Tribolium castaneum: one gene and its partners. The protein of the gene in region 1 purifies or fractionates together with the protein of each later gene. This does not show direct contact. Links are inferred from orthologs where the notes say so. Each region holds a gene or a part of one and is shown in the gene's direction. Other genes may lie near its edges. The genes, in order: PPP4R2r, TIP41-like protein, Prp16 and coiled-coil domain-containing protein 6.

Region 1 (7,703 bases):
GATTTTTGGTATCAAAAATACGTGTTTATAGGCCGAAAAATTGAGTTATCACCTAAAAACTGGAAGGGCCCCCTTGTCATCGGAAATGTATAGCTTTTACAAGATTTCCATTTACACCATATCAAAGTGCGTCTTTGTGTCTCTTGGCATGCAAAATTTCATAATAATCGCATGAACGGTAAGAAAAATATTTTCAAAAAACCATTTTTCCATACCAATTTCTGAAAAATTGTAACTTTTCAATTTTTTGTGGTGGGTCAGTAAATACTATCCTATCTATTTTCATTTTTAGAGGGGTTTTCGTGGTTAAAATTATGCCACATATTTTTGAATCACCCGATACAATGGTATCCGGTTAGAACGAACTCAGAAAATGCATCACAATCAATTCGTTCGCTAAAAGCGGTAAATTAAAAAAAATGTCTTTTAAGTAGTAATTTTGACTTAACATTTGAAATAAGACTAAATAAATAAGTATAAATAAATTGAATCCTTTGCGAAATAGTAATATATTCATATATTACATGTTACAGATGTATACTGTGTGAATTATACTATAGTTGTGTAAATAAGGTGTTACAGTAGACCTCAAATGTGAAAATTGTAAAAAATAGCTCAACTTACTTTATCCGAATATTTATAGTTTCTGAGATATAGAGAGTTTTGGTCGGCGAATGAATTTGGCAACAACAAAAATCTCTGAGTTTAGTTCTGCCATAAAAAAATATGAAAATGTGGGCAAAAATACCACCGAATGTAAACTTTGGGAAAAAGTACTCAAAAGACGCAAATCTAGTTGACATTGCACTTTTTGACGAATTTTTAGACGCTGAAGTGGAGTAAAAAGTAGTGAAAATAGTAAATAAAGTTTATATAAAGTAAGATGATTAATTTTGACTTTTTAGATCTCTACTATCATAAAAAATTTGCACAACTCTCAAATTCACACTGTAATTAGGTTTAAAAACACACGTTTCCACCAGTTAAAATGTTTTCTGTTAAAAATTCAATAAAAAGTTCGTTATAAACGGAAAATCGCATCACATTTTAAGTCGAATCTAGTTCGTTATATCCGGAAGTTCGTTATAACATCCGTTATCTTCAAAGAGACACACACCACACCCATTTAAAAGAAAAATATTGAGGTGGTCGTGTAACCTTTATTTTATTCCTTCCACCACAAAGCAGCGACATTCGAAACGGGTGAACTTGAACCAAGATTTTTTCAATAACAAAATTTGCACAAAAGTCTCCAGTGGGAAGAAATATGAGTCGGAAGCTCATGAGTCGGAGCTAATACGGTGTAGAGTATATAAATTAAATTTAATGGCCTATCAATTTCACACAAAAAAAGTTAGTCAACATCGGCTACTTTGAAGTAAAACAACTGCTTGAATGTTTACATTTTATGTTTTTGCTAAATAGCATGTCGCTACAAGCCCTTCAAGTTTTATTGCTTGTTGAAAGGAGTAAAAGTTTTTGTCGGACCGACAATAATTTCTGTTTTGTGCTGTGTGCTGGTAAACAATTTTGTTGTTGCTAGTTTCTTTTTAGTTCCACATAGAAAATATTTATCTATTTTCTTTACTGTAACTATTATATAATTAAATAAACACATACAAGCAGAGTAAAATGAAACAATACGTTGATTCGTTTTTATATCTGGGCCAGTGTGTTACTTTTTGCAAAAGTCGCCCGCTTGCATCTGTAAGAGTTCTAAATTCTAATTAACACAAATCTTTTAAAGCGATTACGCTCGGGTATAGGGCTGCCTTACAAAAGAAAATAATCCTCATACGTGCGCAAAATGATACAAATACATAACAAATAATATATTTACAAACAATTCGGTATTATAAAAGATAAACAGAGTATATCATATTCATAAGCCACGTTAAAGCTATGTACAAAATAAAACTTACAAGGTATTTTTCTCTTACAATTATGAATTTTAAGCGTTTATTTTAAGTTCGTTTCTCAGGATTTTGCCGCTGGGGTTCCTTGGGATCGACTCGACGAATTTAACACCGCCGGCGATTTTTTTGTAATGGGCCACTTTGGGGTTTATGTAAAGTAGGATGTCGTCTTCACTCAGGCTGCTCCCGGGTTGGCGCACGACGAAAGCTCGGGGCACTTCACCGGCCAAAGCGTCCGGAATACCCACAACAGCACAATCGGCCACTCCGGGCATCTCCAGGAGCAGATTTTCAAGCTCGGTGGGCGACACCTGTTTACAAAAAAATAACGATTATTTCTTACGTAAATATTTAACAACGCGTAATAAAAAGAGTATAAAGTATGACTTCGTAACGTTAAATTCCAGGTGCCACGTAATAAAATAATTAAGGTGTGTTTTAAATTCAAATTAAAAAAAATTTTTGAATTAAAAACCACAGGGTATGCAACCAGTTATACAAAAAATCCGAGTGTTCGCAGAGAAAATATTTTTAGCGAAATCTCGGTGTCGCTCACCCGGTTTTTGCACACGTGTTAGACTTTGCGCTGTTGCTGATTATAATTTTTAATGACTGTACTTTAAAATCAAATAAAATTGTCTCGCGTTTAAATTGATAAATGACCACGTCCTTAAAATAGGCGCGCGGTTGCGCAGTTCGTCGATCACGTCCTACTTTGAGTGGAATGATATTGAACCGGCGCTAACTTCGTTATTGTCATTGGTGCGCTTGTTGACGCAAGTAGATGGTGATCGGTGGTGCTAAAATTTCGCGAAAAAAACAATAACAATAATGGAAAATCCCGAAGAAATACTCCACAGTTTAGAGGAATTCTCGAAAACCAAGCCCAAGGACATACCGCGCGAACTGGAGGAGTACCTTTGTTTTGTGGCGAAAACAGGGGACCCTGTGTACCAGTGGTCGGCAATAAAGAGCCTCTTTCGCGAGAAGATGATTAACGTTATAACGGAGTTCTACGAGACGTGCCCTTCGGTCGAGATACCCCCTTGTCCCAACGTGGACATTTTCAATTACGACCTTATGAAGAATTTTATTTTAGAGAAGTTGGACACGTTTGCGGCGGCCCCCTTCACGTTACAGAGGATTTGCGAGCTGTTGACGACTCCGAGGAAGGAGTACAATCGGATAGACAAGTACATGAGGGCCCTGGAGAAGAATATCCTAGTTGTGAGCACCACTGAACCTGGGGGCAGGAGGAACACGGAGAACGGGGAGGGCATTATGAACGGGTTGGAGTCGGAACATTTGCCGGAAACTAGCAATAGCAGCAATGACATCAACGTGGAAGAAATGGACGATGCGCCAGCTTGGCCTAGATTGCTACAGAACGAAAATGTTCCATATCAAAATGAGAATAGCAACAGTAATGACATTCAAACCCAGCCAATTGTACAAGAAACGGTGGTCACCGCGTCTAAGCTACCAGATGTGGCCTGCAGCTCGTCTCAAGACACTGTCATAACGTGTCGAAGCTCAGAGGAGCCCTACGTTTCGATTGAACCTGTGCCATCAAATACTTGCACCAGATCAGACCCAGATGAGACGGATGTCTCGGTTACCATCACTGCCATACCTGCAGGGGTCCAAAAGAGACGAAACAGTGTCGAACCGGTCGTTTCGTCAGAAACCGAAGAAATCACCGAGTCTTGTGTAAGTACCAAGTTTTGATCAAAGTGTCCATGTGTTTGAAGTTGGCAACATTAATTGCTAAATGGTCACGTCACACTCAGGACAGTGTTGCCAGGCCTCGCAAAATTTCACCAAGTTTTGTGATTTCGTAATTTCAAAATTTCTTCGAAAATTACTAAATTAAAAAACTGTTATCAAACCATTAAAATCACAAAATCCCTCGATGTAGTTAGTTTAGGAGCGAAATTTCGTAAAAAAAGTCAAAAAACCGTAAATAGATTTTAAAATTGTTATTTTTAGCTTTTCAAGCACGTTTTTGAATAAAATGCAATGTGTTTTTCAAGATTTTACAAAATTTTGTTCGTTCTATTCGCCTCTTTTATTTTGAAAAATCTTGTTAAAACGCGCCAAAAAAATACAAAAATAAATGAAAATTGATGGTTTCACTTAATTTGCTCATTTTTGAACAAAATTTCGTAGTAAAATACCCTAAAAGACGCAAAATTTGTGTGGAAATGGTGTTATTTTTTTTAATTTTTTAAGTATTAACTAAGCTATATTAACAAAATTTTCTTGAGAAGACCGAAAGTTAAGAAATAAGAAAAAGAAAGTCGGAAATATCATTATTTCTTCCTTTTTTGTGCGTGTGGACATATTTTACAGTCCGAAATGTAAATATTTCGTAAAATTTTGTTGTAAAGAAGCTTAAAATTTGCCAGCTTTTTTTAAAAATGGTGATTCTATGCATTTTCTATGCATTTAAACGTATTTTTAACGCGAAATATTTTTTCCCTTTTGAAAGAATATCTAAAAAATACGCAGCTTAGATTGTCTCGCTTGGTTTAGTTTTATTTATTTTGCAAAATCTTGCTAAAACGCCTCAAGAAGAAACCGAAATTTCTTAGGAAAAAACATGTAAAAGCGCATTTTTGGAGTTATTTTTCACCATTTTCAAGTTTTTTTTTCTTGTGAGAATGAGCATGTTTTAGAGCCTGAAATGCAAATTTAATAAAATTCTGGTCAAAACAAGTCCAAAATCCACCAAATTACGCTAAAAATTGTGCTGTTTTACATTTTTTGAGGATTTAGACGTATTTTAAAAACGAAAATAATTTTGCAAAAATTATATTAAAATTAGTATCAATTGGCAAATTATGTTGTAGTGTAGTAGTAGATTAGTAGATGTTTTTTAGCTTATTTGATTAGATTTTATTCGTCTTTAAACCTGTCTCCTTTATTTTGCAACATCTAAAACGCTTCAAAGAAACTGATGGTATTTAACTGTTGCACTTGAAAAAACTCAAAATGTGTTAGAAAGTGTTGTTATTTTTTTATTCCCTTTCGAGATTACAGCAAAATTACAAAATTAGATTGAAAATAACATTATTAGTTTTTGTGCAAAATTTCTTAGAAAAAAATCTGAAAAGGTACATTTTTTTGGAAATGGTGTTATTTTTTAACTTTTTCATGTATTTTTTTTCTTTAGACAAGACCAAAAAATTAAGCTGGAAATATTCTTTCTGTATTTTTTGTGTGTATGAGCATGTTTTAGAGTCAGAAATGCAAATATTTTATAAAATTTTGTTCAGAACAAACCCAGGATTATGCTATGGTGCTATTTTACCTTTTTTGAGCATTTAGGTGTATTTTAAAAACGGAAATAATTTTTTCTTTCGAAAAATTGTACTATAATTTACATACAATTGGCTTAACAATAAACAAATTATATTATAGTGTAGTAGTAGATATTCTTTTTGCTCATTTTATTAGATTTTGCTCGTCTTTGAACCAGTTTCCTTTATTTTGCAAAGATCCAAAATACTTCAAAAAAATTGATGGTGTTTTACATGATTTACTATTTTTGAGTCAACTTGCTTGAAAAAAATATACGAAGAAACGCAAAATGTGTTTGGAAATGGTGTATGTTTTAATTTTTAAAATCTCTTTGAAATGAATAAAAAATTACAAAATTAAATAGAAAAACACATTTCTTTTTGCAGTATTTTTTATTCTTGCAAATGTGCATGTTTTACATTATGATTTTTACCAAAGTATTGCCTTTCCGCGCGTTTACGCACGTTTTTAGGCTAAAAACTGTTTCTTAACTTTGCTAAAATTGTCTCTTTTCGTTTCGCCCAATTGATTTTTACGTTTTTAAGCAAAATTTCGTCAACAATAATAGCAAACCAAAAAAAAGTCTGATAATCTGATGAATAAGTGGATCGGGGATTTTTTCAGTTCGGAGTTACGAGTGTGGCAGTTGTGCCAGCTTAATTTGGAAAACATGTTTTTTCTAGGACCAATCTGACAAAACCAGCGAACCTTCCAAAGAATCTGAGGCTAAACAAGAGGAAACGCCTTCGTCGCAGCAAATCGAGGACGCAGACTCGTCCTCAAGCGCTGAAGACGACAAGGAATCGGTTGAAAGTAAGGAGGAGAAAACTGTGGACGATGCGGTCCCTCAGAGCGAGTTATCGTCGACTGAGTGCGATAAAAACGAGGATGAAGTTGGCACATCGCAAGAGAAACTTGACGAGAATCCGGACGAAAGCGAAGAAATAACTGTCGATACCACCAAGTGTTCAAATGCCTCCCCAACACCACAGGAAGAAACTAAAGAAGACCTCGAAATTACGTCTTCTGACAAAATTGATGAGGTGCACTCGTCACAAAGCGAAGCTGAAGCGAAAATTGAAGAGACTGAGAAATGTGAAGAATCTCAAGCTGCTCCCGAAGAAGGGGTGAAAGAGGCAAGTGAAGAGGCGGCGACTGCGATGGATGTGGATGAGTTTAGCGAAAAAGTGGAAGAGGTTGTCAGGGCTGAAGCTACGTCAGACTCACCTTTATAATTTAGATAATTTTTTTCCTTAATTAACGATCAAGGCTAACAAACGCGCCTTCTTAATTGTTAAGTATTTATACAATGTGTAATTATGCAAACGAAGTTTTTTCATTTTACTAGAATCTGTAGGGTTCGTCTGATTCGTCAACAAAATTCGTTTTTTTTAAATTTGTATGTAGAGCGTAGGTAAATAAATTTGTACGTAATAAAGAACTGAATAAATGGTTTATCTATTGAAACCTTTGCATCTTTTTGTCAAGACCGACATCCTGCCTACTTTTACAGAGAAAGTGGAGCGAGGATAAAAATTGAACCGGAATTAGTCTGGTTCGTGTAGGCAGCCAACAAAACAGCGTTTTATTCTAAAAGAGTTTTCTAAAGCACGTTGAACTTTTTTTTTTTAAATCCAAAATTGTTGGAATATTTTGCTTGTTTCACTCATTTATTCGCTAATTTTGGAATAAAATTTCGTCCCAATAAATAACCAAAAAACGCCCTAAGCAATCAGTGGAAACAGATTACGTTATTACGAAAATTTCAAGCTGTTTAGCATGTTTTGAATTAAAATCTTAGTTTTTGTTACAAGACGTTGCGTAAAACAATGAATAATTGTCAAATTAAATCAGTAGTAATGTTTTCAACAAAGGAAAATCTCTAAATGATAGAAATTGATGCTATCCTAAATTCTTACCCTGTTTCACTTGATTTAGTTCATATTTCATTAAAATAAACTTACAAATCACAGAAATAATAAAAATTGAAGATTTGTTTTGCCTGTTTCAGTCGATTTCGTTGTTTTTTTTAATCCTAATAAATAACAAGAAAACCTTCAATTTTATTTTTACTTTTTTTCAAGCTTTTTAAGTGTGTTTTGAACTAAGATTTTGGGTTTTGGAAATTTTGAAAGCCGACCCTGTTCAGATCAAAAAAATAAAAGGTCCATTGGCGTAATCAACAAAAAATTGTTACTAATTAGTTGGAGCTCACTATTATAACAATCTGACAGATTTAAAGCAGTTGTATGGGCAATGCTATCAGAGTATAGCCGCGGCATTCAGAGAGTACTTAGAGTAGGTAAAAATAATATTGAATTTTTTAAAACAATTCATTTGACGTTGTTAGTCTGATCAACTCACAAAATTGTTTAAAGCCAAAGAACTTGCTGATTGTAATATTTTGTAATATAGTGAAATAAATAGGTGCTCATATTATTAAATTCTCCTTAGAAAGTGGCTTTGTTTGAATTGTGGGTATCT
Region 2 (6,881 bases), about 5.2 Mb from region 1:
CTGGCCGTTCGGTAACCCAAAATTATACAGGGTGTACACTCATTTCGTGTTAATAAACATGTATTTATACAATTTGACGAGTTTGATAAACATGTTGAAAAATCTGGACGACACTGAAGAAGTCACAGCCACTATTTATAATCTTTTGAGTACGGTGGCTGTTATCATTAAAGCGAACATCTTTCACTACCACTTCAATCACGTTAAAACAATCGTGACCATGTTTGAATCGGAAGCATTTCAGCCGAAAAATAAACAGCAAGAAAAAATTCTCAAAAATGGGATTTTTTGGGCTAGATTTATTTTTTACTATTTTTTCCTCACCGCTGATTTGACCCTAGTCATGTGGATTCTTTTTCCTATTATGGATGGTGAGAGACGTTTTCCTTCAAATGCCTGGTTTCCTTACGATTATCTCTCGGGCCGAAATTACACTTTGACTTACATTTGGCAAAGTATTTTTATCATTTACCACGCTTTAAGTAACGTTTGCATGGATACTTTTTTCGCAATGTTAATGGTACAAACAGGGGCCCAGTGTGACGTTCTCAACAACCAAGTGTCTCTTTTGGGGAAAGAAAGTGTCGATTCTGACACAGTTAGGGGTGAATTAGGCAAGTGTATACACCACCATAAATTAATTTTAAAGTGAGTCGATTTTTTTGTATGTTAAAAAAATAAGAAATTATTTATAGACTAGCTGAAACTATTGGTTTAGTTTTCCGCAACATTGTTTTGGTGCAATTCGCCACCAGTGTCTCAGTTTTGTGTGAAACCATGTTTTTATTATCACTGGTGAAAACTTTGAATGCAACTTTTGTCATGCTGTTATTTTACCAAGTGGCGATTTTTACGCAAATTTTTCTGTACTGTTGGTTTGGAAACGAAGTCGTTTTGAAGGTAATTAAGGCACAAATCTTCAAATTTGAATCAACTGATTCCAGAGCGCAAAATTATATTATTCGGCTTATGAAAGTCGGTGGTACGAATGTCCGCAAAGTTTTAAGAAAGATCTGCTATTTTTCATGCAAAGGACACAAAAACCGATCGTACTTTTCGTCGGGAAAATGTTTCCAATTACTGTAATAACTTTCACAAGCGTAAGTAATTGTTAGAGAAGAGTCGATGTAATTTAAAATATTGCAGATCTTGCGGTCGTCTTGGGCTTATTTTATGGCGCTGAGAAAAGTTCATGATAAGTCGTAAAATTTGGTAATTTTTAGAAGTGCATCACTGACAAATATTGACATTAGCTGCACAGTCACGAGTAATTGTTACTTTCGCAAACGCCAACAGATAAAAAAACGCTTCAAAATATTCAACGATTTATTTTTCTTTCTCTGACTTTCCTTTGGACGAAAAAACTAGTAATAAAAAAATGCAAATTTCTGTATTCTGTCGGAAACTTTGAAAATAAATTCATTGAAATATTTCTTGTTACAAAGCGGAAATTTAGCAATTGGCTAAACGTTTCTAGACGTTGGAAACATAAATATCTCGAAACAGGTAAGTGCTGTTTTTATTTGGTTACTTACGAATAAAACATAAAATTCTAGTAATTTTATTTTAAAACTTTAACATATTGATTGTCATTCATTTAAGTGCCCATAAATCAAATCCCTGATACCTATTCTCCTTTCGTAGTTCGTGGCGTGACTATTTATCATCATACAATGCTGCGCTCACTTATGTTTATCCAAGAAAAAATTTATAGCGTTCTCAATAACTATTACAAGTAAATAGAGGATATTTCAGTGCTGGCGCATCCACCAAAATGGGTTACGACCACAAAAATACAAAATTAATTGCAAAGAAAAACAGTTTTTCAGCTTTTTGCCGGAAATGTGGCAACTCGCTGAAACCATAAATTTTCCAAATAAACAAACCAATGTTTTGAATTACATTTAATTATCCGCAAACAAGAAACCCTGCTATTCCCTCTATCGATCACTAATGTGATTGAAACTTTTTGATTCCATAATGCCTGTGCTTATTAAAAGCCATTATAACAAGTCAACACGCAACTTTTCCCACTTTTGGCTTGGTACGCTTGGCGCGAAAATAAAATAAATATTCGGGCTAACACGCGTGTTACACGGTATTATTTTATTTGATAAAAACGGGGCCTTTCAAAGGATAACTCCAAGTCTCAATTTTCGTTATTTTGTCACTTGCGAGTTCGCAAATTGGCTCATGCATGATACATTTGATTATCCCTTGTTTGGGAAAAATGTGGCTCAATATACACACCGTAAAAATAAATGGATAAGAGAGTCAAGTGTGATTGGTCGGTTGCGACGTTTATGAATTTTTATTGGTCACATTTGATTAAAATTTCAGTGTAACTTTGCACGTGTTAAAATTTTACCAACCTGTTAGGCAGACTTGTGATTAATTTTAAATTTTAATTGGGCCATCCTTAGTGTACTAAATTAGTTCATATGTTCGTTACGGCCCTGGAACACTTGAGCCAGTGTAATAACAACGTGTTTATAATTCAATTAAATTAGGATTGAATTTTTCAGCAATAATCCTGTGTTCGAACATGTAGCACGTTTTCGATTTCTCATTTATAAAACGGAAGTGAAACCATAACTCTGAATTAACGAGTTTGGACCACTTTTATTTGACTACAATTCGCGAAAAATGATTGATTGTTTAATTGGCAAACAAATTAATGCGGAAATTAACTGATTACGGTCTCTCGAGTCGAGTGGTGAAACTGTTTACTTACCAATGGTCGTTAAAACGGTCGATGAAAAAAACACCGCTTTCAACGTGGTCCATTTCGCAACTTGTTCTTTGGGAAATAATGGTATTCCCTCTCTGCACGCACTTTGCAGAATTTTCTCGTAATTCTCCAATTCGCCCGATATAAAGTAATCAAAATTTTTCAAATCGGTGTTATTTACAATCTGTTGTATAAAATTCTCTCTTTTCAGCAAGAGCGTGTTGTTGAAATGATTAAGTCGTGAAATTTCAGCAGGATATTCGAAACGTCGGAAAATCTGAAAGAGAAATATTTACACAAGGAAAGTGGGCTGAATTGCTCGTTTTAAATTTAGTTAAGAATAGTTTGCGTAAATTTGTTTTATTTCTAATTGTGTGGCTGTTTATTTCCCGAGACACGAAAAGCACTAACGAAGAAACTTTTTCAACCAATAAAAACTTGATCTTCGGTCTGGTATCGCGTTTATTTGAAACTTTCGCGATTAAGTAAATTGATTCAAAAGTCGTACCAATCCCCCCGCGACTGTGTACCCCATGAGAGTTATCAAAAGCCCGATGTGTTGGAGGGCGGCTTTCAAGCGCAGTCTTTTCCACCAATTTTTAAAACGTGTTTTAAAGTCCATGGGAGAGCTTATGTAAACCGTAGTTTCCATCATTTCGTCCATGGTTGCGTACAAAAATCACAAACACGAACACATCACCCTTGAAGCTGGGCTGGAGTCAACTAGACGCGAAAGCGTCGCGACGCTTTATGATACTGAATCTTGGAAGTATACAGATGCGCTTAGCGCTCCCAAATGATGCTTTATCATTCCGGGGACGGCTTTTTCGATAATGGGGCGGCCAACGAATCAAAACAAATAACAGAATAATGATTTACCAATTTTCAAGTTTATTTTATTGCATTGCGTACAATTGATTAACTTTAAGTTAATCTGCGATATCAAGGCTATAAGCAAAAAACACGAATTTTATGTAATTTTTTTGAAAACATTTTTTTGCAAACTTTAAATTTGGCGCTGATGCGTTGCGTCTGGCGCAAGCGCACTGTTATAGGACGCAAATAAAACGATTCAAAGTTGAGTAAAGTGAGATATTAGAACACAGGGTCCATTTTTTACAATTAAAGACAAGTCCCTTGTCTTAAAATTGAGGTAAACCGGTGCAAACGTCAAATTTGTCACTGTCTCCAAGTCAGTCATTTTTTAGGTTATAATGTCTGCAGTCACCCCAAATAAAAACGAAATTGATATCCAAAGACTACCCGTAAACTCCGAAGAGCACATTTTTCATGATTGGGTGATAAAGTACAAAAAATCGCATATTCTACACTCGATTTGTACGAGTGCAGAAAAATGCAAAGACCTGTCACAAGAACCTTGTTTACTTTGCTTGTAAGTTTGGAAATGAGGTAAAGTTTGGGCTAATTTTTGTGCTTAAGATACACCCGAACTCTGGATATCCCGCATTTGCCTGAAATGGTGTTTCCAAATAATGTTTTAACTCTTACACACAGTTCAGGGGGGCAAATTGAGTTTAATGCTTTGGATGCGCTTAAAACTGTCGCCAATGGAAAACTGCCCATAAAAGTGGCTTGTTCCGAGGAGTGGAGTGAGTCAAGGTTTGAAAATTGTAGTTTATTGAGGGGGAAAAAATTGATTGGGTTTTTTCAGGCCACCTGAGCATTTGAGCCAAAAAATTAAACCGTTTGATTGGACGTTTAGCAATGATTATAAAGGGACAATCACCGGTCCTGTGCAAGTAGTGCCAACTGAGGAACGGATCAATATTGAGAAACTAAAGGAAAAGGAAAAGATTTTGTTCTATCAAGAGTTAATGCTTTATGAGGATGAGTTACACGATAATGGGATTTCTTCATGCACTATAAAAATCGTAATTTGTTGTGTTATGCAATGCTTGTTGTTTAAGTGTGTTTTTAGCGAGTAATGCCCAGTTCTTACTTCATTCTCCTCAGATTTTTTCTAAGGGTAGATAACGTTATGTTAAGAGTAAATGATACCAGGCTTTACCACGAATTTAGCACAAACTACATCCTGAGGGAATTCACAAACAAGGAATGCGCGTTTGGGGATGTCGAGTTACCACTGAATGTTTTTGGAAACCCAAATGTCTTATCCCCCCATATGCCTGTAAGGACTGCAGTTAACGAGAAATTGATTTTTGGTGAATGTAAACCACCAACAGAAGGGGCCGCAGATCAGTGTTCCATGCAAAGTACCAGCAAAAACGACTAATTTTCTGTAAATAAGTGCATTTAATAAATTATTTTTTGAAATTCAAAATTTGTGTCATAAAAAATAAAATCCCCAACCTTCTCTATTATCCTATGGTCAAGGACAAAACTAAAGTCCCTAAATTGAAGCATGTCCTTTATAAACCTCATGCCAGATTGTTAAAATTTTTCACAATTGTTGGTTTACTTATGATAATTTTTACTAATAAAGTCTGTACTAGTGATTTACGTAAGTTTACAAAATGGGCAAAGCGAAAAAAAATCGCAAAGGAGCAAAAGGCGACGACAGGTACAAATCAACAGAAAATGTCAATTTAGATGATTAAAACGTTTTTAGTGAGTCTGAGCCTGAGGTAGAAACGCAAGAATCAACCGACAAAGCAAACAACAAAAAAAGTAAAGCCTCTAAGTAAGTATTTGGAGTTTTTGTCACTCCATTGAGGTTATGTTTGTTGCGAAACACTTGGCATATTTTCAGCTGTAAAAACGTAGTTTTTGCTGCAATTTCACGTTGTTTGGGATTTTTTGGTTCAATTTGACTCATTCTATGTGTTTTCCTAATGTAGGTCAAAGCAAATCCAGAGTGATAGCGATGGTGAAGTGGCAAAAAAACCAGCCCCAAAACCGAAAAAAGAGAAGAAAGCCCAATTGTCTGACGACTCAGACGATGACCCAGTGCCAACTACAAAAGTCCAGAAATCGTTTGCACTTCTGCAGGTGGAAGATAGTGAACCTGAAGACCATCCAACTAACGACGGTGATAGTGATAGTGATGTTAAGGCTGTTAAAAAAGACACTAAAAAGAAATCAAATAAAAGCAGTGACGAAAACAGGACTAAAGAACCTAAAAAAGGGAAAAAAGCGCGAAGAAAACGCGACGATAGTGACGAAGATATTGAAAAAGTATTAGCGGAACTAGAATTAGAATATTCAGGCGTGAAGAAAGAAGATATACCTAAAACCGAGCCAGAGAAACCGCCGGAAGATAAGAAACCGAAAAAGAAGCAAAATGAGAAAGCACCGTCAGAAGAAAAGGAAGAAACTGAAGAAGTGACAAGCACCGTCAAAACAGCGGCGCAGAAGAAGAAAGAGAAAAAGGAACGTGAAAAATTGAAGAAAATTGCAAAGAAAGAAGAAGTGAAGAAACAGGATAGTGTGGAAGTCGAGGAGCAGAAACCCGATGAGACAGTCACTGAACCAGTTGAGGAAGAAGGCGAAAAGGAGAGTAAAAAGAAGAAGAAAAAGGGCGCAAAAGAAGAAAAAGAAGCAAAAGAGCCCAAAAAAGGTTCACTCCAATTTGTGTCTTTACATTTCGTTTTATTACCTAATTTCAGGTCCTGGCAAGAAAACCATTGCTGCAATGCAAGAAGCATTGAAGAAACTCAAAGAAGAGGAAGAGAAATTAAAACGCGAGGAAGAAGAAAGGATCAAAAGGGAGGAAGAAGCGGAAAAGGCCCGTCTTGAAGCATTGCGACTCGAGCAAGAACGCAAAGAAAAGAAAAAACAAAAAGAAAAGGAACGCAAAGAAAGACTGAAAGCTGAAGGCAAACTTTTAACAGCCAAACAAAAAGCTGATAGGGCAAGAGCTCAAGCACTTATTGATAGTTTGAAGGCCCAAGGGGTCGAACTGCCCGATGTTGGAGTGAAAAAACCCAGACCTGGCACTAGAATCAAGCCTTCAAAGCCTAAAAAAGAACAAAACGAAAGTGCCAAACCGGAAGAAGAAGAAGCAAAACCGGCGGAAGAAGCGGTTCCTGTTGCGGAACCGGAAGTACCGAAGGAAGAGCCTCCGAAAGAAGTGGAACCAGAGGATGATGTTAAAGACGCATGGGATGCTTCTTCAGATGACGAAGAATCGGAAGAAAACACACCGACAAATAACGTTGGAACGAAAGTA
Region 3 (7,860 bases), on another chromosome or scaffold:
AATAAGGTAAGAACAGGATACAATCATAGTCGGAGGGTGTAAGAGTGTCAGTATAAGACGTTTTGATCGGCGCTCGTATATGATCCGTTTGTTTAAATTATTAATTAATTCAATTAATTTCCAAAATCGAGAGAAACGGCAAAATATGTGTAGAAATTAAATTGATATAAATCTATTCGTAAATATTTTTAAGTCGTAAAATATTTTTTTAATAATTAAATTTTATTTCAATTACGTGTATAAGTTAAATATCGAGGTAAATAGAACAAATACCAAAAAATATAATTAGATATATAAAAATGTTAATAAATACAGTTAAATATGGATAAATACTCATACAAAATATGATTATCCTTTCCTTTAAAAATAGTTGTCGTTTATAAGGTGATGTTAAGAATAAAACAATAGGCAATTCGAATGGACAAATTCAGAAATTAATTTTGGAGTGGGGCTTACAAAAATTTTTAGAATGGTGAAGGTTATGCTATCTTGAATGAAAAATTAAACCTTTACTGCTGGTGTGTTAAAATACTTAAATAAATTTGTTTTAAATTTAAGGCCAAAAAATATTTGATCCAAAAAGTATTACATTCCATTAATTTTTAGTTTTAAATAAAACTAGTCGATTTTGCTTAGTCTTTGAAATAATTGGATTTTATTGCCAATGCCAATATTTATTAAGTAAGTACCTAATAATTTATTTTTTAATAAATATTCAGTAACAACACTTGTATTATCATTCTATGCCAAACGATATTTAAACGTTCTTTTGTCCAAAAATACGTAAAAAAATTGTCGCTAGAAAGACAGATTACGGTCTAGAGATTGTCAAAAGGGCTGGACGTGTAAAGAAATTCATATTATCGAAGTTCGACTGTTCGAGTTATCGAATAATAACATCTTAGGATTTTGCAGCTTACATGCTATGGAATTGTAACTATAAAAAAATCGAGTTATCGAAGATCGAAATAGCAAAGTTTGACTGTGAAAAATACAATCAAATTTTTTTAATAAAATTAAATTTAAGAGAATTTAAGTGTCTCGATAAATATAGTTTAAATATTTAAATACATTCAAACTTCTAAATTTACAAGTATTTATTCAAATACCAACAAATACTTTTATTATTTATAACTTATAATTACTAATAAATCTCATATGCAGGGTCGCTAATAAGTATGGATACAGCTAAATATCTTTTTTATTAAAATGTGTTCTTTCTCAGTTAAAAGTGTTATTTTAACAATAATTATTATTAACTTTTACTTATTTTTTGGCCAAAGTTCAAACGACAAAGAGCTGACGTTATTATAGCTTTTTAAATAAGGTAAATAGGTAAATATGTTATATCCGAGAACTCAAAAAAAATGATCCTCTTAAAGATATTAAATTTGACCCTTCCTCCCATTATGTATCCCCAGGACAAATAGAGATATAAGATTGATAAACATCTGAGACGTTAGGACTTAAACACTACTATGAGTTTTGATGAATAGTTTTTATAATATTTATTCATACTTTTTAGGTGTACAAATTTTCAAGAGTGACTTTCTTCTCGTTTCCAGCTTTGACCCGGACCCCACCAAACGGGACTCGTTCTGGATTACGTCCATCGGCATGTCCATAGGATGGCTCTCGATGGTGGGGATTCACCAAAGTTGCGTCCAGAAGTTCCTCTCCGTCTCCACATTCCAGGAATCAAAACAGTAAAGCCCAAATCTTGGACTTTGCCAATAATTTTGGTCAAAATTTTTCCAGGTGTGTTATTTACTTTTCGATTGGAATATCCATCGTGTCGTCATTTAGTGTCTTCACTGGCCTTATGATGTACGCACGCTACGCCAACTGTGACCCCTTCACAACCGGAACTGTGCAGAAAAACGACCAACTTTTGCCCTACTATGTTATGGACGTTGCATCTTATGTTCCGGGACTTTCGGGACTTTTCATTGCTGGGATTTTCTGCGCCGCTTTGAGCACTTTATCCGCTTGTCTTAACTGTTTGGCAGGGACCATGTATGAGGATTTTATTTCGAAAATAATTGGGCATGTGGAAGAGAAAACCACGACTTATATTTTGAAATTGTTGGTGGTTATAACCGGAGTTGTGTGTACAGTCCTAGTGTTTGTTATTGAGCATCTTGGAGGGATTTTAGCCCTGGCTATAAGTCTGGCAGGGGTTACCTCAGGGCCTTTGTTGGGCATGTTCACACTAGGGGTTTTGTTCCCGAAAGCGTCAAGTAAAGTAAGTTTTTGCATAATTTTTTCTTTAAATTAATAATTAAATATTATATTTCACACTCGTTTGGTACATTACTAGCATGTTGTCCAAAAGTCTTTAATATAACACTTCATACATGTCACCAATAAAAATTCTTATGATTTTTTTTCTTAAAAATGCGAAAGGAGATCATTCAAGCAATTGTTTCGTGGCTCGTATCAATATTTCAAATTTATATTTTATTACACCTTTAGGGTTCTCTGTACGGAGCAATTATTGCACTACTTTTTGCTTCATGGATTGTCACAATGGCCCAGTACTACAAAGCACAAGGAAGCATAGTTGATGTGCCAAAACCGACGTCTGTGGATGGTTGTTTGGCTAATTTTACAACACTTTCACCTCTTACCACACTTAATTCCACTTTATCATCACTGGAAAGTGTGGCAACAGAAGATATTACGATAGAAAACTCGACTATAAGTCAATTACTAAGCAATTTTACTCAAGCGTAAGTCACATAATATTTAAAGACCATATTTATCTCATCTTTTATATTACAGGACCGAAAATGGAGAAAAACCGAAACCATTTTTTTTATTTCGAATTTCACATTACTACTACACCGGAGTTGGAGCGTTGGTTACAATAATATGCGGTTTATTGATAAGTTATGTGTTGGAAAATGACGATCCTCCGGTACATCGCGATTTAATAAGTCCGGTTGTTCATTTTGCCCTTCCGAATGATGATGATATGCAAAAAGAGAAAAACAAGGATTATTACAGTGTGGAAAAAGCGCTGCATCTTGTGACGACCAACTGGGAAAAAAACGAAGACGATGCGAAAATAATAAAATCATGAATTTTGTATGAAATAAACAGTTATTTTAGTAAAAAAGCATTTTGTTTGCCTTCACCCCAGATGTATGAGACGCCTCTGCTTAGAATCCCTTTTTGAGGAGGTACCACAACTCATAAATAAAAATAACTAGAAATGATATATTTTTGAAGCAAAATATAGTTTTAAAATTATATTTTAAATTAATAACTCCTACTTTTTGTAAGTGCAAGTGATACTTATTACTTTGGTTACCCAGTAACCCAAAAACAAATTAATTATTGCTTCCGTAAATTTGCACGCCACTGGACCAATTGCTACCAATATGTGAAAAACTCAGGTTATGTGAGTTTAAGAGTGAGGTTATATTTACATAACATTTTTTTGCGTTATTAAAAAAGAATGGAATCTGAGGAGAATTTGCACCGCCTGGAAGGCATAAGTGACCAAAAAGGCGGCCTGATTGTAAAAAAGAAGCCCCCAACATTCAAAGTGCCCCAACCTTCGCTCCTAGGCCTCGACCGTCTAGCGGCGGCAAAGCGTCGCGAAAAGGAGGAAGCAGCACGAAAAATGTCTTTTACAATGGACGATAATGACAACACCGACGATTCAAGTTCACTCTTGAAGGAAAAACACTCAAAAGACAGTCGCAAATTCCGGTCACCCCACAACGAGACCCCCACGTACACTGGGGGGATCAGTGACGAGGCCCGCGAGCGCCTCATCGAGCGTCTCAAGTCGAACAAACAGAAGGAGAAGGGGGTTTACGCGACGACTAAAGACAGACACAGGGATAGGGATAGGGACCGGGAGAGGGATAAGGACAGGGACAGGGGGCGCCACCGAGACAGGGAGAGTTCGCATCGTTCTAAGACCCCACGGTTTCGAGACGAGCCCAAGACCCCGAATTTGGGACACAAGGACGAGATTTCAAAGTCGTCATGGGATGACGATGATGATGTCGGGCCCTCGAAAAAGTCTTCGTGGGATTTCCCGACGCCTTCGACTTACAAAGGGAGCGGTGGGGATTGGTCGGAGCGGAGCACCAAGTCACGGAAGTACGACGAGTCGAAGCGAAGCTCGCGCGAGAGTAAACGAAGGTGACTATGACTAGATCTTTGGACGAATGAATGATTTCGTTTCGGCACAAATTAAATGCACAGAAAAATAATAAATGCACAGTATAATTTTTAATAATACGAGTGCGAAAATACAAGCTTATAAAAAGCAGAATTGAAAGCCTTGTTTTAAAGTCTTGAATTATTGTAACAAATTAGTTACGTTTTAATGAACAAACGAACTTGGGTTATTTTATAAATTTATAACAAATAGTTGGTTTTTTACGTCTAAAATTTAGATAAAAAAGTGGTCTATGATTTGTTTTCAGTGTACATACGTAAAAAATTTAAAAAATTTTCAATTAACGCCATACAACGAAGATTTTTTTCTGATTTTGACAGTGACAATTGTTTATTAAAAAAAACAGACTACACTTTTGTTACGTTTTAGGAAACAATAAACATTTCTGATATTGCAGCGAAATTCCAAAAATTATACATTTCTTGAAAACAGCTATAATATTAAGTACAAACAAAATTAAGTAAAGAAACAAAATATAATTACGTATCTTTCTTAGTAAAATAGATTAATACTTTATTTAGTGCAGTGGTTCTCAAACTCTTTCACTTTGCGAACTTTTTCTAACATCCGACAGAAATTGGCGAACCCCTTGTACATCTTTAAAAAGACAATAAAATTTGATAGGACATTTATTTTTTGTTGCAGATTTTAAACTGAATGAATGTTAATGAATACGAATTAAAAAAAAAACGAAAAATTTAATACCTATTTTTTTTATATATTTTAATTTTAAAATTGGGAATAGATCACAGTTAATACTTTGGCAAGGGATTCTTTGAACAGACATGTTAAATAGTTTTAACGTTAGCATCATAGCCAATTTATTCGGAGAAATTTTAGTAAAAAAAGTTGGATCCAGTGTTTGATTTATTTTGAAAAAATGTCATTAATGTTGGCAAAAAAATCCTAGATGAAAATGTAGATACGAAAACTCAGAAACAGGGTCAAATTCCGTATCAGAAAACAGTTTTTGATATAAATGTGAAGACAAAAAGTGCGTAATTAACTCTGCAATTTCCAATTTTTAACAAGAAAGCAACAAAAAATGCAAAATAATCATGTGACAGACAACAATTAAATGATACGAAGGAATAAAAAAGTGCCAATTTTATTTTTAAACTAAGTCTGAAGAAGAATTTGGAACTTGCTTTAACTTCAAGTCCACTTCAGTTCAAATTACAGAAAACTGAGAGTCAATCTTCATAGCACTAGAATTATTGTTTCGTTCGACAAATAAGTTTTTTTTAGTAGAAGCGTTTTTTTATTAAAATTTTTTTACGAAATACTGATTTTTATTCATAGTATTTTAATACAATATTATGTCTTAATAAGCATTGACTTCCCTTTTCATAGACACAAAGTGATAATATTTGTCTTCAGGTGTTGATAAAAACAAACTGAAGTCTATCTAGAATCCGTAAAAGTTTAAATTTTAATGAACATGAAACCATAATTAATTTTTAAAGATATAATTTTTCAAATTTTTAAAAAATTTTTAAAGTGGAATCGTTGTTGTTGCTTATTTTTACCGTGCAAATTGAAATTAGATGCTGTGGATATACACTTTTCTACTTTTTACTGGGTACTTTATACTGAACAAATTTTAATAAAATTTTGTGCGTGCTTTACTTATTAAAATTTTTGCTGTTTAAAAATGAATTAAATACTGATCAAGGATCGATTTATTAGTACCTGACGACAATTATTATATTGCCAAGAGCGTTTGTCAACAGTTAGACATTTTTATAAAAAACACTGGACAACAAATTTTATTTTTTTTAATAAATTATATCTAAATTAATTTTATTTTATATAAGAGATAATAAGAGTAAAAACATTTTTTATAACATGTCAAGTTTTGTAGAAAAATAAAATAAGTAAATTAATTTTACGACCCTATGCACCTCTTTGCTGATAAATACTTTATATTGTAGCGCTTATTTATAATTTTTTTATACTTGTCTTTAATATTGAATGTCAGAACATTCTGAAAGGTTTTGGTGCAACAAAAGTAACAAGTAATAATCTTTTGAATGATCCGTTTGAGCACGCCAATCCATAGATGCTAATAAAATATAATTATTTAAGGAAATACGAGGATGAGAGTGCGAGGTTTACGCCGGCCCATAAATACAATTCCTGGGCCAAAGACAGGAAACGGAGTGGGGCTACGCCCATGCCTGGCAAAGATGGGGTTATCAAGTGGGATAACACCGTCGATAGGGAATTATGGGAGGAGGAACAGAAGAGGATTGACAGGGAATGGTACAATATGGATGAGGGGTACGATGATGGAAATAACCCTTTTTCGAGCGTCAGTGAGGAATATACGAAGAAAAAAGAAGAACAGTTGGAGCAAAGGAAGAAGAAGCGGCTTTCAGCACAACAAAGACAGATCAATAAGGATAATGAGTTGTGGGAGAGGAACAGAATGCTGACTTCGGGGGCTGTACATTCCATTGACTTTAATGAAGACTACGATGAAGAATCCATCGATCGGGTCCATCTGTTGGTGCACAATATTGTGCCCCCTTTTCTGGACGGGAGGATTGTCTTCACCAAACAGCCGGAACCGGTCATTCCTGTTAGGTAAATCAAAGTGGTGTGAGATTTTGAAATTAAGTTAGCAACATTGAATATTCTACTAAAATTAATCTAAAAATTCAGTTTTTTTCGCACGTTTTGCTAAACGAACCGAAAAATCAAAATTAGGCTAATTTTTAGCTTGTATTCGACCAGAAGCGTTATGAAAAGTCATCAAATGACTGCGATAGTGGTGTTTTCGTATTTTTTTAACGTCTAAGCTTTTTTTTAACTAAATAAATATTGTTTTTTTTTCAAGATTTTATTAAAAGTTGTCTTAAAAATCATTCAATTAGGGTGAAAATGAAATGAAAAGTTACTTTGATTAATATTAAATTTTGTATTTTTATTTGTCTAGGGACCCCACTTCTGACATGGCCATAGTCTCGCGCAAAGGCTCGCACCTTGTGCGGGTGTACCGTGAGCAGAAGGAGCGCAAAAAGGCTCAGAAGAAGCATTGGGAGCTTGGAGGCACCAAAATCGGCAACATCATGGGAATCAAGAAAAAGGAGGACGAAGAAGATAAACGATTCAACAAAGAGGACGACACGGCTGATTACAAAACCGATCAGAAATTCGCCGAACATATGAAATCGACAGAAGCCTCCAGTGATTTCGCCAAGAAGAAGACTATTCTCGAACAGAGACGATATTTGCCCGTTTTTGCCGTCCGACAAGAATTGCTGAATGTTATCAGAGAGAATTCGGTTGTTATTATTGTGGGTAAGGCCATGATTAATCGATAATAATCGGAGAAAAGAATTGAATTAAGTGACACACGCTTATCTTATCATAGAAACGAGAACGATTTTTAGATAAGTCGGATTAAAATATTTCAGATGCGCAATATTTTTTGACGTAGGTTTCTTCGAGTATTGTAGTGTCAAAGAAAAAATTTAGTTAGAAAACAATAGACAAAATGACACTTTTTTTCAATTGTTATGATAAAATGCTCATTTTCTATATTACAACAATAGTTTAATCAAACGGATGAATGAAATGAATCAAAAGATTAAATAAAATGTTAACAACCTTTGTTTGACATATTGAATAAAGTAAAAATTAAAATTCGTGCT
Region 4 (8,060 bases), on another chromosome or scaffold:
TCCCGAAAAAATTACCTCTTCTTGCCTAAACCCAAATAACTTTGAATAATCGTCAGGGGAGCCGATAAATTTGCCTTTTATAAACGCTATGTAAAAAATGGAAGCGTAATAATTCACGAATTGGAGAAGATAGATTTTGAGCGTTAAGGAGTCGTCGAATTCGGTCTGCGTACGCAAAAGCTCGAACTCTGTCAAGTATTCAGCCACGTAGTTGTAAATCTGAACGAAAAATTAGTTTGGTTTTTTGGACAATTTACAATAACTCACCCAATTAAAAATTACAATGCAAAATAAATTAATACAAGCTGCGGTACAAGTTGTAAACAGAATAGCTTGACTGTTATCAACCGTATCAGCATAGACCCTCAAAGCGAACAGGACTGACATGCGATAGACAACTATAGCTACCACAGTAGCTAAGGCCAAAGTGACCTAAAATTAGTTATGCTTACAACGTAATTAAATTTTATTAATTACCAGTAACATAACAACCGAGAAACTAAAAATGGTCACGGGGACCCGCAGCCGCCAGAAGGGCACATGCGGTTCCATAATATTCGTAACGACATTAACTTCCTGTCTTTTAACATGCGCAAGCCTTGCCAAATACTGCGGCCTCGGATGCTCCTCCTGTATATCAAAACCTGTCAAATCCCACCTGTGTGTGATTTCCGCCGAGTATCGCTTCCACAATTCGAGAAATAGCGCCGCTGGAAGATTAAATCACGCACAAATTCATGCCAAAAGTAGTTTTTTTACCCCAAAATGACATAAAAATTGCAAAAAATACGGTCGTTGCGTTATCGAACAGATAGGTGATTCTGGCGTGAGTGCACGTCTCTTTCAAATCCCAATAGTTACACCAGTGGTTGCATAATGGACACATTTTGAAGGTGAAGTTACCGTTACAAATATCTTCGCTTGGTTTGTTGTAATACAGGGTGACGCACGAATAGATGAAACATGCTAAGCCTACGACGGCCGCTGGGAGCAACATGTGGGTGTAAAAACCCAACCAGGCGAAATAAAGCGCGATTTTCACGCCAAAGTACTCTTTGACGTAGTCGAGGGGCTGGTAGCGGTACCATTTGCTGAGAGCTGTCCATTCGTTGTAGAGGAGGTAGCGCAGCGAGCCAGGCTCTCGCAAGTCGCCCTAAGAATTTTTTTAATTTAAATAAAACTCGAAAATTAGGAAAATTAAAAATCCTACGTCATGTAGAGGATACGCCGCACTGTAGACACTGTCATTCAAAAGCCGCTCAATGCCGAAGGCAAAGTCGTCATGGTGGTTGTCACTGAACCTTTTCCTGTCCAAAATAAATTGAACGATTCGTGAGTGAATGGCCGGAGTGAAGAAACAAGGGGAATCAACATCGAATCTACAAAAATTGAAACAACGCTCGTATTTTGCTCTAATGACTCAAAACTAACATACAAATATTCTCTGTCTCGGCTATAAATCGCTGTAAAGCGTTGGTCTTTCTCGGGAAATTTCTCCGAGTCGACGATAACGTAACTCTTGAGCTTATCCCACTGACTTGTAATGCCTTCGACTATGAAATTAGTCCTCGAATGCATTTGGCGAAACGCCGGCATCTGTAAAAACGCAGCGTTCAGTTCGTGTCATTTATAAATGAAAAGCCCAAAGAACAGAAACGTAGTTAGTAAAGCTGACTCTGTTAATACAAAACACAAAATACCTGACGAATAAAGGCAGTGGCATTGTACAAACGATTGTGACGGAACTCTCTCGGCAATTTACACAACTCCTGTAGTAACAGCAAATAAAAAAAAATATTTAAAAATAAAAAAAAGAAATTAAACAATTACCTCTCTCATCGGCATGCGCAACTTCAAGATCTCGCTATACCTCCGCAGCACTTCTTTTGGTGCATGAATCTACAACTTGGCGTTAGAAATGAGGCACAAAACGTAGCGAACTATTACTTTAATAAAATTCAAACCGTTGCTTTCTTGCGGCACATATTCCAATTCAAGTCCGTCCCTGACTAAATTATTTTCAAAAAGTTTACGTTTTTGGTAAGCTTCTGGTGTGGTGGCGTCCTCTCTGAAGGCGTCCCATACGAGGACAAAATCAACCGATCTCATGCCGTCGTTGAAATAAATCGTAGGGATACGACACGATATTTTATTTTTACGACATTCGCTACTTTTATGACTAGATTCGTTATGATTTGGTTGAGTATCACAAACTGGCGATTCGAGTGAACTTTCAGGTATTATGATTCGAGGCTTGTTTTTCGGGGGATTGTCGGAAAAGTCTCTAAAAAATTAATTTTGTTAATTGCGAGGGGATTTGAACGTGAGTTTGTGCACTTGGGGACTTACGGGGCGCAACAGAGGTATCGATTGAGGATTCTCATATCGTCAGTGTGGTTAAAATGTGGAACAATATTAAAAACATGTATAGTAAGCTAGTCTGCTACCACACCCGCATTTTGATAAAAACAAATATCGACTGAACTTCGAAAGGCTAATGAGTTAATGGCAGAAACGTGCCTCTTGTTGGTTTAGAAAGTTTACTAAATTTTAATAAACGGATAACGAATAAAAGTCGGAAATTTTTAAGGTAATTTTTATTGTACTGTAATAGTTATAACACAAATAAAAATTCATTAAAAGAAGAATGAGTGCAGTACTTTTTGCTGGCATCTAATTGCATTTCCTTTTTATATTATTTAAACCGGTGATAATAGCGTTATTATTACTAATTCTGATAACAAAGGTCGCAGTTCTTGCTCTAAAATAAGTACTCGGAACAAATCAGTGTTTGCGTATACACAATAATAAAATAAAAAATGTAGTAGAGTTAAATGTTGGGCTTGAGTTATTGTTTGCGTAAGATGATCAGAGAAACAGTGTTAGTACCTGCCAACACTTGCACGTAAAAATAGATAAAATAAACAAATACAACCGCAGGTGTTAAACGAACAGACAAAGACGATTCTTACCTTCCCGTATCCATTTCCGAATCTAAATCATCAGCACTTTTATACAAATTAACAACAGACATAGCATCCATATCTAACTTATCACATGAATTGGGTTTTCTTTGCTTCACTTCAACTTCCCCATTACAGTAACTCAAAATGTGGGGCTGACTCATAAATCTATCATTTTCCAAACTGTCCCCATGCCTTACAATGGTCAGTCTCTTCTTATGGATTTTTCTTCTGGTAGGTGACAGTTCTGACGTTTCTTGTCCTGACAGTAACAAAGGGGCTGACATGGACGTTGTAATTGAGTTTTTTCGAACATTGTCTTTGGTTGTCTCTAGTGGCATCACAATTTTAATAATCTATAAAAATAGTAAAGCTTAATTTAAACACGAAACGACTAGTGGTTCATTTTTCTTGGACTAGTGAGTCACGAGCTTGAAAACGTCACATAACAGTACTTGGGTAAAAATTTACAAGTATGATAACATAGACCATAATTACATGCAGTGATAACTGACTGCTGTTATTATGTTTGTGTAATTTTTATTTAACAAAAAAGTGTTTGCTATTTTTAAACATGTCAACTGCATTCTTGTAATTTGAAACCTGATCACTTGAGTTAAAAAAAAACACATACTCACCTCACAGATTCACTGTTAAATGCGAAATAATACACATTTTACAGCGATATTACAGTGATAATATCAAGTACAAATTCCCCTTTTTAAAATAATTAGTTCTTTTGTACTACTGGTAGTTTGAATAACTTATACAGTAGATAAAAAAAAGAATCATTATTTAATATTTTTGCTAAAGAAGATAAAAGTTGGGTAATAAATATTGTGGCTCAGTTTTAGGTTCCAATTTTCTGTTTAAGTATTTTAATTTTTTATATGGATCATGCCACCTCTTAGTTCGATTCTGCAAAAAAGTTACTAAGGAAAATAAAAGTCCTAAATTGAAAATTTTTGTGCAATTTTTTACTTTACTATACTTTCCGAAACGTGTAATATTGCCTTGTTGTTCAATTTGTTTGCGATAAGGTAAAGTTCATCCGATTTGAAGGCGTATTACCTTCGATAATTCGTTCTCCAGCCGGTTTTTTGGTAACATTTTCCGCATTGGCAGCAATGTGCATGGCGGCTGTCAAGAAACGAAACCAAAAATTGTCATCTGTCCTCATGTTTATTGCTAATTGTTTAATTTTATAGTTACAGTGAAGCAATAAAGGTGTGAATTTATGTATTTTTAACTAAAAATAACAGTTCCCTCCTCTAACTCTATGCCAAACAAACCCACCTGAAAAAACCCCAGAAGAAATTCTTCAACACTTGAAAAAAATCCATGACGATCTCGCCCATTCCTACCCTAATTTGATCGTGTTGAATTATGTTTAAAGACATGGCTGATTCAGCGAGTGAGTCTGATTCGAGCAGCATTGACGGGGGCCCCATCATGATGCCCCCCAGCCCCATAACCAGGGAGCAGCTCCAAAAGCGGATAGAAAGCTTGCAGCAGCAAAATCGGGTGCTTAAAGTCGAACTCGAGACCTACAAGCTGCGGGTCAAGGCGCTCCAGGAGGAAAATCGCGGCCTGAGACAGGCCTCTGTCATTATCGTGAGTCCAAAACCTTCAAGCCTTGCCGTTTACTAACCCAAAATTGCAGCAAGCCAAGGCTGAGCAAGAGGAGGAGTTTATTTCAAACACTCTTCTTAAGAAGATTCAAGCGTTGAAGAAGGAAAAGGAGTCTTTAGCCCACCACTATGAAAGGGAGGAGGAGTGTCTTACCAACGATCTCTCGCGGAAACTCACGCAGCTGCGACAGGAGAAGTGCCGACTTGAACAAACTCTAGAGCAGGAACAAGAGTGCCTTGTTAACCGTCTAATGAGAAAAATTGAGAAACTAGAAGCTGAGACGCTGGCCAAGCAGAGCAACTTGGAGCAGCTGAGACGCGAAAAAGTAAGATACATGGGGAAAAAATTACACATTAAATTTAAAAAATTAAATTTGTACTTTAAATAATTTATTTATTTCTTCAAGAGTTAGTTTCATTTGTGTAATATCTATAATACTTTAATAATTAGGTCGAGCTTGAGAACACTCTTGAGCAGGAGCAAGAAGCTCTCGTTAACAAGCTCTGGAAGCGCATGGACAAGCTCGAGGCCGAGAAGCGAATGCTTCAGATCAAATTGGACCAACCGGTCTCAGATCCGGCGAGTCCTCGTGACATCAACAACGGCGATACTGCCACCAATCTCAGTGCCCACATCCAGACTCTCCGTTCGGAAGTGGCCCGTTTGAGGCAAACATTAGCAATCAGCCAACAAGAGCACACCCAGAAGATGCAAAGATACGCGCAAGAGGAACGCAACATCAAGGAGGAGAACTTGAGGTTGCAGAGGAAGCTGCAGTTGGAGGTGGAGAGGCGCGAAGCTCTCTGTCGCCACCTCTCGGAGAGCGAAAGCTCGCTGGAGATGGAGGAGGAGAGGCATTACAACGAGCAAGTGCTTGGGGCCAGGCAGCACACGGTGTCGCCGGTTCCGTACAATCCGTCGCCTAGCCAGAGTCGCCCCCTGAGTCCAGGTGGGAAAAACATTTTTTAAGCTCCTAATTGTAAGATAAAACCAGATATTGTCGGGTTCCTATAAAAAACATACCGAAAAAATATATATTTAAACTCTGCCTTCTATTAAACTATGTTAGTTATTTCAAAAAATACAAAGTCTTATTTTGTGTATTTGCGTATCTTCGCTGTAACAATTATGTTTTTTTATTTTTAACACCAATTAATCGATAATCCGTGAACCCCTTGTAACAATTAGTTCGGATGTAGGTGTTATACTGTGATGTTTTTAGGTTTGTCGTCGATGCAAGCCCCATCCCCGCGCGACTCGCTAATCGTGGGCCCCCCACGCTGTCCGACTTGCGGTCAATTACTAACGGCGGCTTGCGTGCCTGCTTTGCACAACGTGGGTTCCAGCAGCCCCCCGGCCCCGGCCCACCGAAGGACCAGCGAAAGATTCATCAAGCCGGCGATTCCAGCACCACAGCCCGCTAGTCCCATGGATACTTCAATCACTAAAGAATAAGATAAAAAAGGTGTCGAGTTGACAAATAAGTAATCATGTTGATGGGCTTTCGTTTTGCAGGTGGTGAACATTTGTTGGTTTTCTCTGCATGTTATTTGTATAGGGGCTTTAAAGTTCGAAACAAATAAATTTAATAAAACTACATGGTGTTACTGTGAAACTAATGGATACATAATTTTTTCTTATTTAGATATATTATACTTGGATTTTTCGATTTTCGGGCAGCTGTTTTTGATTAATTTCGGGATCTGCTTTGCTTTTAATATGTGTACTTAATGATGTTATATGATAAAGGGAGCTTCATTGTGGTCAGCTCTACTAAAATATTTCCATATTTGAATGTTTACAAGTGATCTTTCAATCTAGCAACGGCAGTTGTCACAGGTCCGATGCCATGTTGAACCATTGCCAACAATTTTCACAATGTTTGTGATATGTGAGTTTTTGTTAATTAAAATTGTGACACGATTTCTTAACAATTTCGTTTAGTTTGTACACTGCACTCTGCCAAACTTGTTTTCTTAGTATTCATTATTTTGTCATGCAATAATAAATCTAGCTTACGTTTTAAGTAATGGATATCACGTTTTTTATTTGTAACACCATTTCAATTAAGTAAGTTTAATTGAAATGTTGAAGGTTATTTATCCGATTTGTTACATTCATAACACTAGAAATTACGAATTAAAGACTATTTAGTTTAGAGTTAGGTGTTTTTTAGATTAACATCTCAAAAATTGACACTACAGGTGGCAATTCAAAAAAATTGTGAAAAGTGATATTAGGATATAAACTCATTAGTTTCATTGGTGGAATTACATTATCATCTTGATTTGCCAAATTTCTAAATTTAAACAAAATTCTTCCCTTACTAAATTAAAAGCCAATGAAAACTTTCGGTGACTATTTCAGGGTCATATGTTAGTCTAGGATAACATTTTGTTAATGTGAGTTTGAGATATTTGTTATGTTTTTAGTAAACTGATGTATTTTCCTGAAAATGTTGTTTTTATCTTGTTTTTTTTGTAAAAAAAGCTATTCTATTTAGTAAACGCTGTGAATCATAAAAAAGATTACATTGGCCTATTGCACCAACAGTCCCAGAAACAAATGATTCTGAATAAACAACTGGCTTACGAATTTCCTGTAATCTTTACGCTACGAATTATTTTCTATTTTAATAATTTGTATAAGGTTGAATGATATGTAATGGTTTTTAAATAATAATAAACACTTAAAAGCAATCGTTTTTAAATTTTGCGCCCATCTCTTACGCCATTTTTGTTTGTTCTACTAACTGCATTACCGACCGATCCTTCTCTTTTCATCCGGGTGAAGTGTCAAGATGGTAAGTCCGTACCGATTTTTTAATAAATCAACAATCATCCGTGTTATTTATTATTAAATTTGGCCCAAATTACGTTAAATTAACAATTGGAACCTTGTTTCTCACATTGTATTCATTATTTATCCGTATTAGTGCCTCACAAGTCAATAATTGTCGAAAAAAGATCGTCATGTCAACATTTAAAAACACGTTAGTTTTGTTCGAAAAAACTAAACCACCTTCTGCGAAAAGTGTTTTTCCTGCTCATTTTCGCGAGTTGTGTTTTTCCAGGTTGTAAAGTGATTGTTTTGTGCTTTTATGACATTGTTGGCGTTCCGGCCCTAACCACTATTTTTTAGGCGCGAGGTCCCAAAAAGCATTTGAAGCGTCTCAATGCGCCCAAAGCATGGATGTTGGATAAACTGGGGGGTGTGTTCGCCCCTCGGCCTTCCACCGGCCCCCACAAGCTACGGGAGTCTCTACCTTTGGTTATCTTCCTGCGAAATAGGCTGAAGTATGCCTTGACCAACTCAGAAGTGACGAAGATTGTTATGCAAAGATTGATTAAAGTTGACGGAAAAGTTAGGACAGACCCCAACTACCCCGCGGGTTTCATGGGTACGTTTTCATTTTTGTCCAAGTTTTGGGACCGCAATAGTGATTTTTAGATGTTGTGACTATTG

The links.
Region 2: the proteins of PPP4R2r (region 1) and TIP41-like protein purify together in Homo sapiens (affinity purification with mass spectrometry; 5 studies listed by BioGRID and IntAct, counting the BioPlex papers as one, with this or other methods). This does not show direct contact. The link is inferred for Tribolium castaneum from reciprocal best matches to the Homo sapiens genes PPP4R2 and TIPRL.
Region 3: the proteins of PPP4R2r (region 1) and Prp16 purify together in Homo sapiens (affinity purification with mass spectrometry; 3 studies listed by BioGRID and IntAct, counting the BioPlex papers as one, with this or other methods). This does not show direct contact. The link is inferred for Tribolium castaneum from reciprocal best matches to the Homo sapiens genes PPP4R2 and DHX38.
Region 4: the proteins of PPP4R2r (region 1) and coiled-coil domain-containing protein 6 purify together in Homo sapiens (co-immunoprecipitation; 3 studies listed by BioGRID and IntAct, counting the BioPlex papers as one, with this or other methods). This does not show direct contact. The link is inferred for Tribolium castaneum from reciprocal best matches to the Homo sapiens genes PPP4R2 and CCDC6.

The regions. Positions count from the first base shown.
Region 1 is NC_087402.1:9,725,358-9,733,060, forward strand, and holds PPP4R2r (serine/threonine-protein phosphatase 4 regulatory subunit 2), read left to right. Parts: upstream 1-2,604; 5' UTR 2,605-2,747; coding exon 2,748-3,626; intron 3,627-5,902; coding exon 5,903-6,454; 3' UTR 6,455-6,686; downstream 6,687-7,703. Other genes in the region: uncharacterized protein LOC107397720, read right to left, coding at 1,952-2,227. UniProt on the Homo sapiens protein: Regulatory subunit of serine/threonine-protein phosphatase 4 (PP4). May regulate the activity of PPP4C at centrosomal microtubule organizing centers.
Region 2 is NC_087402.1:4,516,650-4,523,530, reverse strand, and holds TIP41-like protein, read left to right. Parts: upstream 1-3,737; 5' UTR 3,738-3,884; intron 3,885-3,939; 5' UTR 3,940-3,945; coding exon 3,946-4,124; intron 4,125-4,171; coding exon 4,172-4,351; intron 4,352-4,403; coding exon 4,404-4,623; intron 4,624-4,670; coding exon 4,671-4,985; 3' UTR 4,986-5,033; downstream 5,034-6,881. Other genes in the region: odorant receptor Or1, read left to right, coding at 1-648, 696-900, 945-1,100, 1,147-1,206; TWiK family of potassium channels protein 9, read right to left, coding at 2,735-3,008, 3,240-3,395; eIF5B (eukaryotic translation initiation factor 5B), read left to right, coding at 5,227-5,273, 5,322-5,393, 5,551-6,269, 6,319-6,881. UniProt on the Homo sapiens protein: May be a allosteric regulator of serine/threonine-protein phosphatase 2A (PP2A). Isoform 1 inhibits catalytic activity of the PP2A(D) core complex in vitro. The PP2A(C):TIPRL complex does not show phosphatase activity.
Region 3 is NC_087394.1:24,669,382-24,677,241, forward strand, and holds the start of Prp16 (pre-mRNA-splicing factor ATP-dependent RNA helicase PRP16), read left to right. Parts: upstream 1-3,284; 5' UTR 3,285-3,463; coding exon 3,464-4,161; intron 4,162-6,289; coding exon 6,290-6,790; intron 6,791-7,142; coding exon 7,143-7,507; intron 7,508-7,860. Other genes in the region: sodium-coupled monocarboxylate transporter 1, read left to right, coding at 1,566-1,706, 1,759-2,245, 2,476-2,732, 2,785-3,085. UniProt on the Homo sapiens protein: Probable ATP-binding RNA helicase. Involved in pre-mRNA splicing as component of the spliceosome.
Region 4 is NC_087398.1:5,837,826-5,845,885, forward strand, and holds coiled-coil domain-containing protein 6, read left to right. Parts: upstream 1-4,055; 5' UTR 4,056-4,349; coding exon 4,350-4,577; intron 4,578-4,626; coding exon 4,627-4,920; intron 4,921-5,045; coding exon 5,046-5,544; intron 5,545-5,817; coding exon 5,818-6,050; 3' UTR 6,051-7,294; downstream 7,295-8,060. Other genes in the region: subdued (anoctamin-4), read right to left, coding at 16-219, 268-432, 478-710, 760-1,153, 1,211-1,379, 1,436-1,596, 1,701-1,769, 1,831-1,899 and 2 more; RpS4 (small ribosomal subunit protein eS4), read left to right, coding at 7,396-7,398, 7,737-7,995, 8,046-8,060.